Linked DNA regions of Caenorhabditis elegans. Changing the gene in region 3 together with the main gene of any one other region gives a genetic interaction. Each region holds a gene or a part of one and is shown on either strand. Other genes may lie near its edges. The genes, in order: fust-1, exc-7 and fox-1.

Region 1 (4,606 bases), on a different chromosome or scaffold from region 3:
ACGGCTCTTGGATGGTACACTGGTACAGACAATTACACAAATCTGAAAAAGTATTTCGCGGGGATTTTCGAGCAGCTCGAAAAAATGACAAGCATTCGTTATCAAGAAAAAAATGCACTCGTTATTCGAAATATTCGTCTGAAATTGGTAGGAGATCTGAAATTTGAGTCATCTGCAATGAATCATCCAGGACAGGCAGCTTCAGATTCTTGCATTTTTTGTACCGGCAGATGGGCTCATTCTGGTATGAATAAGGCTACAGTTCAATCCTTCGAATTTGATAGATCGGGCCCTCTTCGTACATTGCGTGGTATGATATCAGCAGGGTATCATCCATTACTCCACATTGAGCCATTTTGTATCGTACCACCTTGTTTGCATCTTCTGATGGGATTGGTAAATGACTATATCTTGGCTTCACTTTTGGCACTTGCCAATCAAATCGACTTCCCTGGACAGGATCTTCCAGACTCTATGAACGAACAGAGAATGGAATTGGGAATAGTTCAGAAAGAAGAAAAATTTTGCCAAAAAGTGGTTGAAAGTCTGCAAAACGCCCTTGTGCTCACGACGAAAATCAAGGAAGTTTATGAGAGTCGACTAAAGCAGAATAATATCAAACGTTCGTCGATATCTTGTGGATCTCCAACATGCTGCGTCAGTGATATGCCAAAAAGCCAACAGGATCAAGATATCTTCTTCTGCGTTGCTTGTCCATTTGCAATTCATATGGTGTGTGCTGGTAGATATACGGAGGATCAACGCCAGGCAGCTAAACATCATCCGACTGCTTGTTTAAAATGTCAAGAAAAACATATTCTTTCTAATGAGGAAATGATTGAACATGCTAATGAGGCACTTGATGAGCTTGCCAGGCGCTTACAACACGAGACAAGCCATCTTAGTAACTTGAAAGCTGCTCGCCAAGACATGACAACGGCTATTTCGACTCGAACTGGGCCAACAAAACAGAAACTCGAGGAAGTTTTGGATTATATTGGCTGTAGTCAAAAAATTAACTATCAGGGATTAACCGGAAATCAAGTAAATTTGTGATTTTCGGTATTTGAAAATATTCTAATCTTTAGGTTCGCCAACTACTAAGGACAGAAAACATTGACAAAGTACTAAAAGTCTTCACGGACTGTAGTTGGATCCAGAATATGAGAAACTTCATGAATGATTTGGCGTCACTCATGTCAGCAAGCAATAACGCAGTCTTCACAGATGATGATTTGAATGATTTCGCTAAAACTTTGAAGAACTTGAAGAGAAACATCAGAATTCTTCATCCTTCGATGGGAGTCACTCCTAAACTTCACATCCTCTGTACTCACCTCGAGCCTTACATTAGAGCAAAAAGAACTTGGGGTCGTACTTCAGAACAAGGGATGGAAGCGTTTCATGTGCTCTTCAGGACAACAGAGACGCGATTTTCTTCTGTGATGTCTCTCAAGCTACGCGCTGAGTTGATGATCGACTATTTCGCTAACATCAACTATATTTCCGATAAAAGAAACTAGTGACAGCAAACATTTCTAGGAAACCGTTTTTATAGTACATCTCTCTCTCTCTCTCTCACTCACATGTTTTTTTTTCGATTAAATCAATTAAACGAGCAGAAAAGCCATGAATGATCTCTAAATTCCGACTTACAAAGTGTTTTGAGTTGATGATAAGCGTGAATCCTAATTTTCAATTGCCTAAACTAACAAACGGGTTGTGAATGGGTTCAGATTGGGGTACAGCATGAAAATATTTCAAAAGAAGTGAATACAATTTTAGAAAAACCGAATACAAGCAATGTAAACATGAAAATGAAACAAAAAAACGAAAAAAAAATCAACCTTGTTCGAAGAAAATGATGAGAATTAGAATGAGCAAGGAAATGCGAGAGACTTGGAAATGTGAGAGACGCAGCATTTCACGCGAAACGCGCCAGCAATCGTCGCGCTTGCGCATTTCGAGACGAGGATACTGTGTAAAATTGTAATCATTTGTTGCAATTTTTGTTCTTGAGTTAACTTTATTTTTCATTTTCCTCGACCTAATTTCTCAAAATTGTTAAAATGTATACTATTTATTACCCTGCAGTGCTCAAATCTTGTGATGAGCACTATCAAAGTTTTAGATGGAGTTTTTTAAAAAGTATTTTTTTTAGTATAATTGTTTTTTTCAGTAAATTTAGTTTTTTGGAGCAGAACGCTGAAATCTGCCAAGGTTCGCTACAACCAGATATATCTAGATATAACTGCAAATGTGCGCGCTCCATTGAGACTACACGCGACGCACAACCGCGACGCGTATTGGACAGCGTTCTCCGTCTTCTTTGAACAGCATCTGTCCTCAACCATTCTCTTCTCGTTTCTCTTTTAATTTTAAGATATATTTGCTCTTCAAAGGATAAATTTCAGTCAACGCATCGACACGTAGCGAGTGCCTCGACTTGAATATCGACAAAAATGGGTTAGTTTCTTTTTTAATAGTCGTTTTCTTATTGGAATATCGAAATCCGAGTGTCCACTGAAAGTATTTTATTTATCCTCCTAACACCATTCATGTTTTATAAATTAGGTTAATGCGTGAATTTGTGGGAGCTCCCGAATACAAATCACGGGCGTTGCCATTTCTGTTTCCCGGTTATTTGAAAACATTATCGATTTCAGCGGCTTACGACCAAAGTCAACCCGACTACAGCACACCCGAAGGGCAGCAGGCGTATTGGGCCTATTATCAACAGCAACAACAACAACAACCAGGAGGTCAACCTGATGTAAGTATATGAGATTTTGTGGGCTGATCGCCTCACTATCATGGCTTTGCTCAGAATTGTTCAGGAGCATAGTTCTGCTGTTGAATACCACCAGGCTCACAGACGTTTCATAGTTTAAATTTCAGCAGGATCCGTACGCCGCTGCTGCTTATGGAGGCCACGACCAAGCACAACAACCGCAAAATCCATATGCACCACCACCACCAGGAGCGGATCCATACGGCCAAGGATCCGGAGGCCAATCCGGAGGATCTGACCCCTACGGGCAAAGTAGAGGTGGCGGCCGTGGAGGATTCGGAGGCAGTCGTGGAGGAGGTGGATATGATGGTGGACGTGGCGGAAGTCGTGGAGGATACGACGGAGGACGCGGAGGTTACGGCGGTGATCGCGGAGGACGTGGTGGTGGTAGAGGTTTGTTCTTGTTTGATTAATGTATTCATAATAAACCATGTTTTTCAGGTGGCTACGACGGAGAACGCCGAGGTGGGAGCCGATGGGATGACGGAAACTCTGATCGGTAGGTAAACATCTGAATGTTTCGTTAGCAATATGCGGTATTTCCAAATTCGTTTGCTTAACCATCCAAAAATTGTTGTGTTGTGTTGAAAATCGAAACTGCTACAGAGTTCAGAGTATTCAGTGTTCATATACAAAATCTATTCACTATTAAAAACTTGCGAAGAGTAATGTATTGTGTCCGTCATTGTAAGTTTCATGAAAAAAGGTCAGTGTCCGCAATGAAGCACAAATTCATTGTGCTTTATCGATTTGTAGGGCTATGGCCCGGTTTCCTTCAAAATATTATGCAGTTCAGCTATTATTACGTGTGTTCGGTATCAAAACGAGTCAAGAGTGAAGAACAAATGAAGTCTACCAAACGACTTCGAGCGTGCAGGAGATGCTTCTGTCTGAAATCTCTCATGCTTGAAAAATCTTAAAATCTAAATGATCGTGTTTGTGCGTACAAAAAAAAATCAATTGAAGGTGTATTATTGCGCGGTCGAAATCTGAAAACATTTTACTGTGGTGTTAGCATGAGAGAAGAAGACAGAAGACTCCATTCAAGAATGATGTTTTGCAGACAGGGCGGACCTCCAGGAGGAAGAGGAGGTTATCAAGGTATTGAATACGTAAATTGCTTTATCTTTCGTACCACAACGAGTTTATTACCAAAATTAAAAAAAAATGGGTATCCTACCGAGTTTATCATCGAAATTCAAAAACAAAAAACATTAAACGAATATAAAAATACTTGTTCCTGTGCTTTATATTATTGACAGTTGGACGAAAAAATTGTTTGTAAAAGTTTTCATATTTTCATTGCAGACAGAGGACCCCGACGTGACGGACCACCAAGTGGAGGAGGATACGGAGGCGGTGGTGCTGCTTCAGGAAACCGCGAATTCGGATCCGATGGGCGAGTTGAGTTGAAGGAGACCGTCTTTGTGCAGGGAATTTCCACCACGTATGTTTTGTAATCGCCCAATTAAAAAATGTATCTATATTTCAGTGCAAATGAAGCCTACATCGCCGACGTCTTCAGTACCTGCGGAGATATTGCAAAGAACGATCGCGGACCGAGAATCAAGATTTACACCGATCGCAACACCGGAGAACCAAAAGGAGAATGCATGATAACATTCGTCGATGCTTCTGCAGCTCAACAAGCTATAACTATGTACAATGGGCAACCATTCCCTGGCGGCTCAAGCCCGATGAGTATTTCACTAGCCAAGTTCCGCGCTGATGCAGGAGGTGAACGAGGTGGTCGTGGTGGACGAGGCGGTTTCGGAGGTGGTCGTGGTGGTCCTATGGGAGGACGTGGTGGCTTTG
Region 2 (4,606 bases), on a different chromosome or scaffold from region 3:
TATGGTTGGTGGGAGGTAGATCAAAGTTTTTATGACGAGCGAACGATATCCACCACTTATTCGCATTCGTTTATATTCACTTATACCCATTCCACTTATCCAACTTTTATTGTTTATTGGACCTTTGGAGGGGTAACAACTAGATTGCTTATGATACAGAGTCGCTACTCAGTCAGTTTACATATAAGTTGGTTATAGATCATTTTTCCATGGTTGAATAGAACTTTTATCGTTTTTAGTAGTTTTACTTCCTCAGAAACCAATAAAAATATTTCAAAAAATGACCCTTTCCGGCGTTTGGGAGCAATTTTATATCTGTTTCTAATAACCTTGCCAGATTGACAGAAATTTGCTCCTAAATACCGTGTTGTCATGGAGATAAGGAACTATCCTACCCTTTATGTTTAAAATCATTATCATATGCATTTCATATTAAAAGTTCCTACTGGCAATTTGTATCAGTTAAAAAATCTAAATCCGATCGTGATCTCCTTCTTCTAAAGTCAAGTTTTGCAGTAAACTTTCGAAAATATCCTCCATTGACCGTGCTTTGAACTTTACAGTCTTTGAATCCGTGATTTGTGAAATCGAAAACCCCTAAATCCGAAATTCCCGAAAAGTCCAAAATCGCAAGGGTTAAATGTAGTTTGAAGTACTTAGTAGTCATTTATCTCAAACCAAAAGTCCAAATGGAAGGGCCATACCTAATTATTGGGAACGGATCGAAGGCATGAAATACTGTATCCTGTAAAAGGGCCTGAGCAATTATGAATCTCGCCGACGCGGGGGTACGTACTCTCATCCGGCCGCCCTCTCCTCTGCACCACTTTTCACACAACAATATGGGGGCCACCCCCCTCTACCTAACTAACACATAATTGAGTCCCCCTCTCTACCTATTCAGGTTTTGTTGTTCATTCAACTGTGCGTGTCGTGTGTATTTGTATGGGGTGGGACGAGAGGCGGTGAAGAAGAGGACTAATGGAAAACCACAATTGAAGAGTGCGTTTCATCGTCGATCACCGTTTCTATGGTAGTTATTTTGAGATGACAATGATGTCGATTTTTTTTATTGTTTCCTAGCATTCCATAGTGACCAATTGCCAAAGTTTTGTGCTTAGACAGGTTTTGGGATATTCTCAAGATCAGCGGAATCCTTTTTTTTTGTTGCAAAATTGCAGAAGCATTTGGATATTTTCTTGACTAGATGGTGCAAACTTGCGATGGAGTGTTTCCAGTTCAAGAAAACTGGAATCGGAGCAAGTAACAGGGTTACTGTAGAATGGTTGATGGTATTCTATAGGTTTATTTAACTCGTTCTTTCGTAGCCCCTACGTTTCTTTAAAAATTCAAACTTCCCAGAGCCACAAAATTTCCACCGGGCTTCACGTATTCCCTCTTACCGAACACCTATTCAAATACGTGTCATCTTCAATCCTTTTCCCCTATATCCTTCACTAACCAGGTCAGTCATGTTTGATCAACCATTGTTTCCACACCTGCCCTCACAAAAATCCTCAATCATGATGCGCTCTTATTCTTTTTTCTATGATGTTGGAAATTATGAAATTCAGCTTTCACACTGTATTCTTGTAATGTCTGGACCCTCACTATACACTTATTCAAGCCGTAATTGGCGTGTATACGTATCCATATAATGTGTCAAGTTCACCTGTTTCCTTCATTTCCGTCTGAGCACATGATCCAAAATCTTATACAACTGAATTCCTTTATATAGATTGTGGAAAGTTTCCTGCAATTTCTAGTAGTTCTTGTTTCCTAGTCTTTCGGCTTCTTATCTGCCTTTTTAAAACTTTACCTACCTCATAATCCGTACAGTTCCCATTTTACCTGTTACACACATACACAGGTATTTAGAAACTAAGCATCATACCAGCAATAATAAAAACAATAAATGTTCTTTTCATTGGCAATGAGATATATTCATGCGTCTATGTAAACCAATAACAAAGCTAATTAGAATTGAAAACAACAGGGAATTGAGTGGCAGAGTATAGGTATGTCATGCTGTGCGCTGCCATAATTCTGCAGCTTCAGTTGAGTGGAGTAGGATTGTGAAAAATCATGGTGTACAACTAGTTCTGTAAAGTTTCACTGATATTAAACGTTTTCCATTTACTTTTATTTCACTTCTATTTTTCTTGCTCTCTGATATGTTTTTTTAAATTAATTATCAAACCTATGAAATTACAGATCCATCTCCCCTAGTCTCGGCCGGCCCAAAACGAACGGAGCATATACGGGGAGCCGCGGCACACAAACATACACAAAATATAAATAGGCCACGCCCATTTGTGCATATTTCTACATATATCCTCGCGACGGGCCCCCCGCCCCCCTGAGCCCCTTTTCCTCTTCCTTCTCTTTGCTCTCACAACAACCGGAGCTCTTTCTTTTTGAAAAGAGCCCTCTTTTGTTTCCTGACAGACCAAGTGGAAGAAGTGGTGGTGTGTCAACTTCAGAAGACAACGAACGACGCATTTTTGGATAGGAAATTCGAATTTTTGAATTCCAAAATTCGGTCTTCAAAATGACGATGGAAGCGTTGCTAACACCGAATAACAACAATGTTCCGACGAGTCCCGTTCAGGTAATTTTTTTTTTCAATTTTTATTAGGAAAGATCTATATGAAAGTCCAGAAGCAGTAGAAAAAAAAAACAAAAATAAATACGGTTTTCAAAATCTTTGAACATTGAGGTCTACAAAAAGTCCAGAAATCTACTCGACTGTAACATTTCATATTTTGGTTGCCTAAGATTTTATCAACAAAAATTCAACTAATAAAATATAGAACCATAGCAAAGATACACATTTTAAAAGTAGAACAGTAAACTGCGGTAATTTTGAAGAGCTGTAAGTTTGTTACAGGTTCTAACTGTGAATGGTTTTTTTATTAGTTAAATTAAAAGTTTAAAAAAAGCTTTTAGAACCTGATCATGACAGTTGTTTAAAATTCGGACTAGGTAAACTGGATGCTTAGGCTCCGTTCAGATCTAAAAGCTAAACAAATTGTTGAGCCTTGAATTCTAGTAATAACCATAAATCTGAATATTGTTTCTTCCCCAATGTCCAATCCGTCAGTGAGCCCGAGTCCAAACTTGGTATACATGCGTGTGCATTTGACGTGTCATTCTTTCAAGAAAGCTTCCCAATTCCCAAATGCCAATTTTTCAAAATCCGAGAAGCCTTCTTCCTTACTCTTCTTCTCTTTTCTCCGCCTTTCCGAACCACTCCTTTTCGAAAATACGTCCCATTCATTACGCCTTGAGGGAGGAATGAGGGAGGAATAAGGACCAAAAATAAAAATATTTGTTTTGTGAAAGAGCTCAGAAGCTCAGATTCCTGCGTGCTCATCCACCTATATTATGATGATGTGTTGTGGTGTTGGTGGATGGGAGTGGAAATGACATGAAAATTAAAATATGGAGAGAAAAATTGAAAAATAACAAGAGAATACTAGATTTTTAGATTTCCTGTTGAAAATTGTTTTCTTTTTTTCTAAAAAGTTTTTTGATTATTGAAAAAATATAGCTGAATTAACAATATCATAATTGTGCAATATATGACTAATGAAATTGGTAGAAACGAAGTTTTTTTTTTAATTTAAATTTCTAGAGGTACTATATATATGGAATATTCTAAAACTCAGCGATTTTCTTCAGTTTTTTTGAAGTGTTTCTTCAAAAAATTGATAGAAGACCTATAAATTAAAATTTAAAAACTTTTAAAATTTTGTGAAAATTCAATTCGAAATCTACTAGAATTTATATCACAGTTTTGCTAAATTACGTTCCTCCTCAATACCGGACGGTTCAAAATTTTATTTCTATAAAACGCATATGGAACTCTTTAATCAAAGATCCTATAAAAAACTCTTAAAGTCTATTCATTCCAACAGCGTAGAAAAAAACGTTTGCATATATTTCATTTCATACATTATTCCCTCTCAAATACCCATGGGTATTGTTGCTCTTCCAGTGAGCACACCAGGAGGTGGGAAGAACATGCGGGGGGCTCCATCTCTTCCATATAGACTTGCTCACGCACAGGAAATTTGAGACGTGGCCAAATAATGGACAGCGAAATGGATGAATTCTCCGGTTACTTGTACCGAAGAGCCCTCCCGCGCGCGAGAAAAGAATTGAAATTGAAAATTGAGATCTCCCGGTGGAATGAAAGATTGGAAATCATAGGGGAAATATTTTTGGGTCAGATGTAACCTCCAAAAATGGAATATATAGTCAGATTGGACAAAGATGGCAGAAAAACATAATAATTTATTTATTCCCAAATGAAAAAAATGAACAATTTCCGGGGTTACCGACGCTTCTCACCAATGCTAGGCACCCGAAAATATACGAGGTGTATTATTTATGTAAATTGACAAAAACGGGACTTCTATCTAGGGAGTTCAGAATTTTTTACATCTGAAAATCGTAGATTTTCATTCGAAAAACCGGGACCATTATACAAAAATCGCTTTTAAATTTTAAATTTATATTTTTTGCAGACAACCTACACAAGTACACAACGATACTGCTCCGCGCCAAATGTGGATATTGGAGAATCAAAAACAAATTTAAT
Region 3 (4,606 bases):
GCGGTACACAAGTTTATAGTTTATAGTTTATTTAAGCACATTTAGTCATATAATTCATAATGTTTTTCTAGTACTGTTCATATAAAAGTTTGCCAGTGATTTATCAGAAAGAGCCTCAGAAAGAAAAAAAGATTTGAATCTTAATGAATCGGAAAGTTGAAAGCACAAATACACTGAGATGGGGCAAGAATTCATTATACTTTCCGTGTTTTGTTATTTACTGAAATGCTCCCAATTTTCCCTAGATATTGCGTTTCTCCGTCTTGAAATCCGAATACCTCCTTCTCCTCCTCCTCCTCACTTGATTCCGTGTAGGACTTGTGAGGCTCGCTGGCAAAACTCCGGAAATCAAACAAGAATCGCGTTTCTTTTGCTCCTCTCTCTCTTCGTCCTTTTTTGTTCACAAAATCTAATTTGAAGAGGCGATTAAAGGTGTTGAATTGAAAAGGAACGACGTCATCTTGCTTAATCTGGCGGTCAAATCATTTTTTTAATCTAAGTTTTGTTTTCGGTAAGCTTTGGTTTTTTCAACAAATTTCCGGATTTTGTGTGGGCGGTTCGGGAACTTTTGAATGTATTAACCTAAAATATGCCCGAATGAACATGATGAATCTTCTCAAAAAAATTTTTCAAAATTTTTATAACACGGTTCAAAATTTCGAAAAAATTTGGCTCGAATTAAGTTAAAATCGCAAGTTTTCAACACTGTTTTGCGCCCAAAAAAGCGCCAAAATTGAAAATTATGGGTGAAATTAGACCTTCTTTCTATCGAAATTTTGAACCTTTATGAAAAATTTATGAAAATTTTTTGAGCAATCTCATTACCAAAATCGTTCTTTTGAGCGAATTTCGAGCTTATACGTTCCAAATTTCCCTAACAGTTAGTCCACTTGTAAGGAATTTTCGATATTGCTGAAAACTCTAATAGCGAAATAATAGCGGTAGTATGTATTGTCATATTTTTCAAAATTTTTAGTTCAAAGTTTTCCACAAAAAAAGTTTGCCTCTTGAGAAATTTCTAACATTTCTGCAAGTTTGAACTTCTGTGATGCTAAATTTCAAACAATTACTGCATAATCGGAATTTCAAAAATCCAAAATTTTTTTTAGGATTTTCAAAGTTATTATAGGGAAAAACTGATCTTGTTTTACTATAAATTTTGCATCTTTGAATGATTTTAAACAATTTCACCACTGGCTAGACATTTTAGCCTATTTCGAATTCCCAAGCTGCAATCTGAAAACCTTTTTTTTTCGAAGTGATCTGCGTTGTGACGGTTTGCAATATTTTCTTGTAATTCCTATTTTCAGGATTCGAGTTTTTTTCCCTACAAGACATATACTTCCCGTATGTTAATATTACCACCACTCCCAGAATAGCTAATATGATTAGTAGGTAGTGCTTTTAGCGCACATCTGTAAAGATGGTGAGAGCGTAGGGACGAAGACGACATTGGGACAGCGGCCACGCCCATTTCCTCTCAATTAATAAGACGTGCCTCTGAGCACACTTTTGCGCCATCCTTTCCCGTGCTCTTAACGCTCAGAAGTCAGTAGTGACCCTACTAACAACTCATTGAGAAAGAAGACGACGACAACCCGTGGGGGCAAAGTGGTCACACAAGTAAGAAACCGCGCCCCGTTTTCGTGTCTGTCGTGTGTCCCGCTATCCGTCCGGCGGGTCTAGTCCGTCTTTCCTGCTCCTTATTTGTGACGAATTGTCAGAAGGAAGAAAACGGAGAAGAAACAGCAGCAACAGCAGAAGAAGCAACTAGAAGCAAAAGCAGAAGCCGACAAAGAAGAAGAAGAAGCCTAAGGCCGTGTGAGCTGCCCCTCCGAGTTGTGTTGCGTGATTCGCCACTTCTTTGGATGAGGCCAATTGTGGTGTGACATACAGACACACATCGCATAAATACTGCCCCCCCCCCCCTTTTTTTTCAACCATTCCGTTTCCGACACGACGACTGACTCTTCAGTCAGTCATTCCTAGCCGTCCACGCTCGCCACCACTTCCCCGTCGCCCTGTTTTCCACAAAATTATTTTTCTAGTCTTTCCTTCTACTACTCTGGATACTGTAGCGCCTCTTGCTGAAACATGGCTGAACTAATCGAAGAGGTGAGCACTGCTACTCACGCTTCTCTCAATGCATGTGACCCGATTGTAGTGAATTCTGAGGTATGTTTTTTAATACTAATTTTTGTCTTGAAATTGGTCATGACTGAACGTTTCGAAAAGTTGGAAAAAACCATTGGGGCCTAAGGGTGCGCGGCAATTGCCGACCGGCAATTCTACAAAATATGACAGTTGGGCATGAGCTTTTGCATTTAAATTTAAGGATGTAATCTGGGAATAAGTATGAGTTCACTTGAAGCAACCGAAAAAACACACAAAAATCGACACATTTTCCGGAAATTTTCAGCAGAAATTTTCAATATTCAGACGATTTTTGAAAAATTCTCCACAGATATTTTCAAAAAAAAAAAAACCAAATATTTTTCTATATTATATCATCAAATTTTAATGAAAAATGTCGAGCCAACTGTCTCATTTCGTAGAATTTATTGCCGTGAACTTCTAATTGAGACTTTTTTTGCAAATCTAACTTCAACTTCAGTTTGTTGGTCGGAATGTGCACTTTTTAAGTGAGTTAGCTGCGTGTGAACCGAAAGACTATTCTAATCCAGTTTGCTTCCTTTTTTCCTCTTATTTTGTTTTGGGCTCTTCTTCAGTAAAGGCTCCATAGCATAGCTTTTTTTAATTTCGCAATTCTTCTCGTTTTGCCCATTTTGTCTTGCCAAAACAATAATGCGACTTTCCGACACAAAATTGTGTGAGAAATCTCGTCATTTTACCGCATCTCGACCTTCTCCTAAATGTTTTCGCAGCTGCTTGTGAGCCATCAAGAAAGGCAGAAGCTGGCAAACGGGAAGAGACGAAGGCTCACCCTTACTCAACGATAATTAGATGAGTACATGGATGTGAGATGGCTTCTTCCTTTTATTTGTGCTAGAAAGAAGACCGAAACATTGAAACACTCGCGCAGCACCGAACATTCAGGATTGCGAGCGGATATGTGCTGTGCGAATTGAAATAAGCGGAAAGTAGTGCAGTAATGAGAAATAGTGACCTCAACTACCTCAACTAGTCAACCATAGAAACGAGAATATCACGCAATTTACGCGGCAATTATACTACTGGATAGTTGAGGGGAGATGTCAAAAGGGGCATGACAACCAAAGTCAGCGTCAACTAGTGTTTTCGTTTCGACAGTTTCTATCTGTTTTGTGTGAATCGCGGAAAACTTTCCAACATGGAGTCTAAATTGATTTGTTATACCAAATTTGCGTACTGTTGATGGAAATTCGGAGAACTGGTTGTGTTTTTCAATATTTCCCGGTAGTCAAGTTTTGAAGTTTTTTAATTGAACATATATCATTGTGCCAAGTTTGGCAGATTTGTTCGGCAAATATTAGTATTTTCGGCACTCATTAAACATTTTGTCCAAAAATAAAAGTTTTGATCAGATATTTTATGAAAAAAAAAACATAGCATAGTGTTTTTATATGTTTTATTTAAAAAAAAATCGACACGTGCATTAGGCACACAATAAACGAAAATTATTTGTTTTCCATTAATTTTGACACTTTTTGAGCTCAAAAAAACATTTCAATTTACCGAGTTTGAGAACCACGGAAAAGGTGCCTAATTTGCCGAATTTCTCGAGTTCGGCAAATATTCAAACAAAAAAAATTTGCCGAACTTGTCGAGCTCGGCAAATCTCAAAGTTTGCCGCACACATTTGACACAATCCCTGAATGTGTTTCAAATTTTGTAAGGATATTTCTCAAAAATACAAAGTCTGTGACACAGAAAAGTGACCAAAATCGGGAAGTTTAGCTAAAATTGGGTTATTTTTTTTCGAAAATTTGCACCGCCTACATTTTAGAAAAAAAATTGAGCAGTTTCATAACATGTACGTTTAAAATGCCACGAGCTTGCGATTTTGCTTATATCTATCCCATTATGAAATTTATCGATGTTTTGTAAAGAAATTCGAAATATATATATAATGAAGCAGATTAAATCCAATCCCCTTTTCGTTCTGCCTCAACAATAGGTTATTCTCATATATTTCTATAATCAGAAGGAAAACAAATGGAGAATAATGTGGCACAGAGGAAAAAACAAGCAACCCAGGTTGACATCCAGCTTGGCTTGAATAATCTGGAACCTTTGGTCCCTCTATTGTTTCCTGCTCAATGTGTGTTTCTTTTTTTTCCTTGTTGTCGTTCAATGTACAAGGAATATTTACTTACGTTCATCATGTTTTGAGAACAAAATTGTTTTGCTTTGTTGTTTCTTTCTATCCAACCAAAACTTTTTGATTTTTTGGCCGCCATAGTTTTTGTATACAGTGTTGGCTAAAAAGGTACTCCTGATTGCAACTCTGAAACTGGAAAAATTTATTGCTCGTCACTATGTTTTTTTTTGTTTTTAAAGCGGCCGACATCTCGTAAGCCATTTCAACTCTTATATCTTATTTTTCTGACTGATTAAACAAAACGAAAAGTATTGTAAAGATAAATTTACTATCACAAACTTTCCA

The links.
Region 1: changes in fox-1 (region 3) and fust-1 impair growth when combined (synthetic growth defect), as found in Caenorhabditis elegans (one study listed by BioGRID).
Region 2: changes in fox-1 (region 3) and exc-7 impair growth when combined (synthetic growth defect), as found in Caenorhabditis elegans (one study listed by BioGRID).

The regions. Positions count from the first base shown.
Region 1 is NC_003280.10:7,150,238-7,154,843, forward strand, and holds the start of fust-1 (RNA-binding protein FUS), read left to right. Parts: upstream 1-2,414; 5' UTR 2,415-2,462; coding exon 2,463-2,466; intron 2,467-2,666; coding exon 2,667-2,773; intron 2,774-2,898; coding exon 2,899-3,184; intron 3,185-3,232; coding exon 3,233-3,290; intron 3,291-3,854; coding exon 3,855-3,892; intron 3,893-4,099; coding exon 4,100-4,238; intron 4,239-4,283; coding exon 4,284-4,606. Other genes in the region: T07F8.1 (Zinc finger PHD-type domain-containing protein), read left to right, coding at 1-1,044, 1,089-1,523.
Region 2 is NC_003280.10:9,573,757-9,578,362, forward strand, and holds the start of exc-7 (RRM domain-containing protein), read left to right. Parts: upstream 1-2,214; 5' UTR 2,215-2,551; coding exon 2,552-2,611; intron 2,612-4,532; coding exon 4,533-4,606.
Region 3 is NC_003284.9:2,453,438-2,458,043, reverse strand, and holds the start of fox-1 (Sex determination protein fox-1), read left to right. Parts: upstream 1-2,094; coding exon 2,095-2,175; intron 2,176-4,606. UniProt on the Caenorhabditis elegans protein: RNA-binding protein that regulates tissue-specific alternative splicing events by binding to 5'-UGCAUG-3' and 5'-GCACG-3' elements. Also binds to poly(A), poly(G), poly(C), or poly(U) stretches of RNA.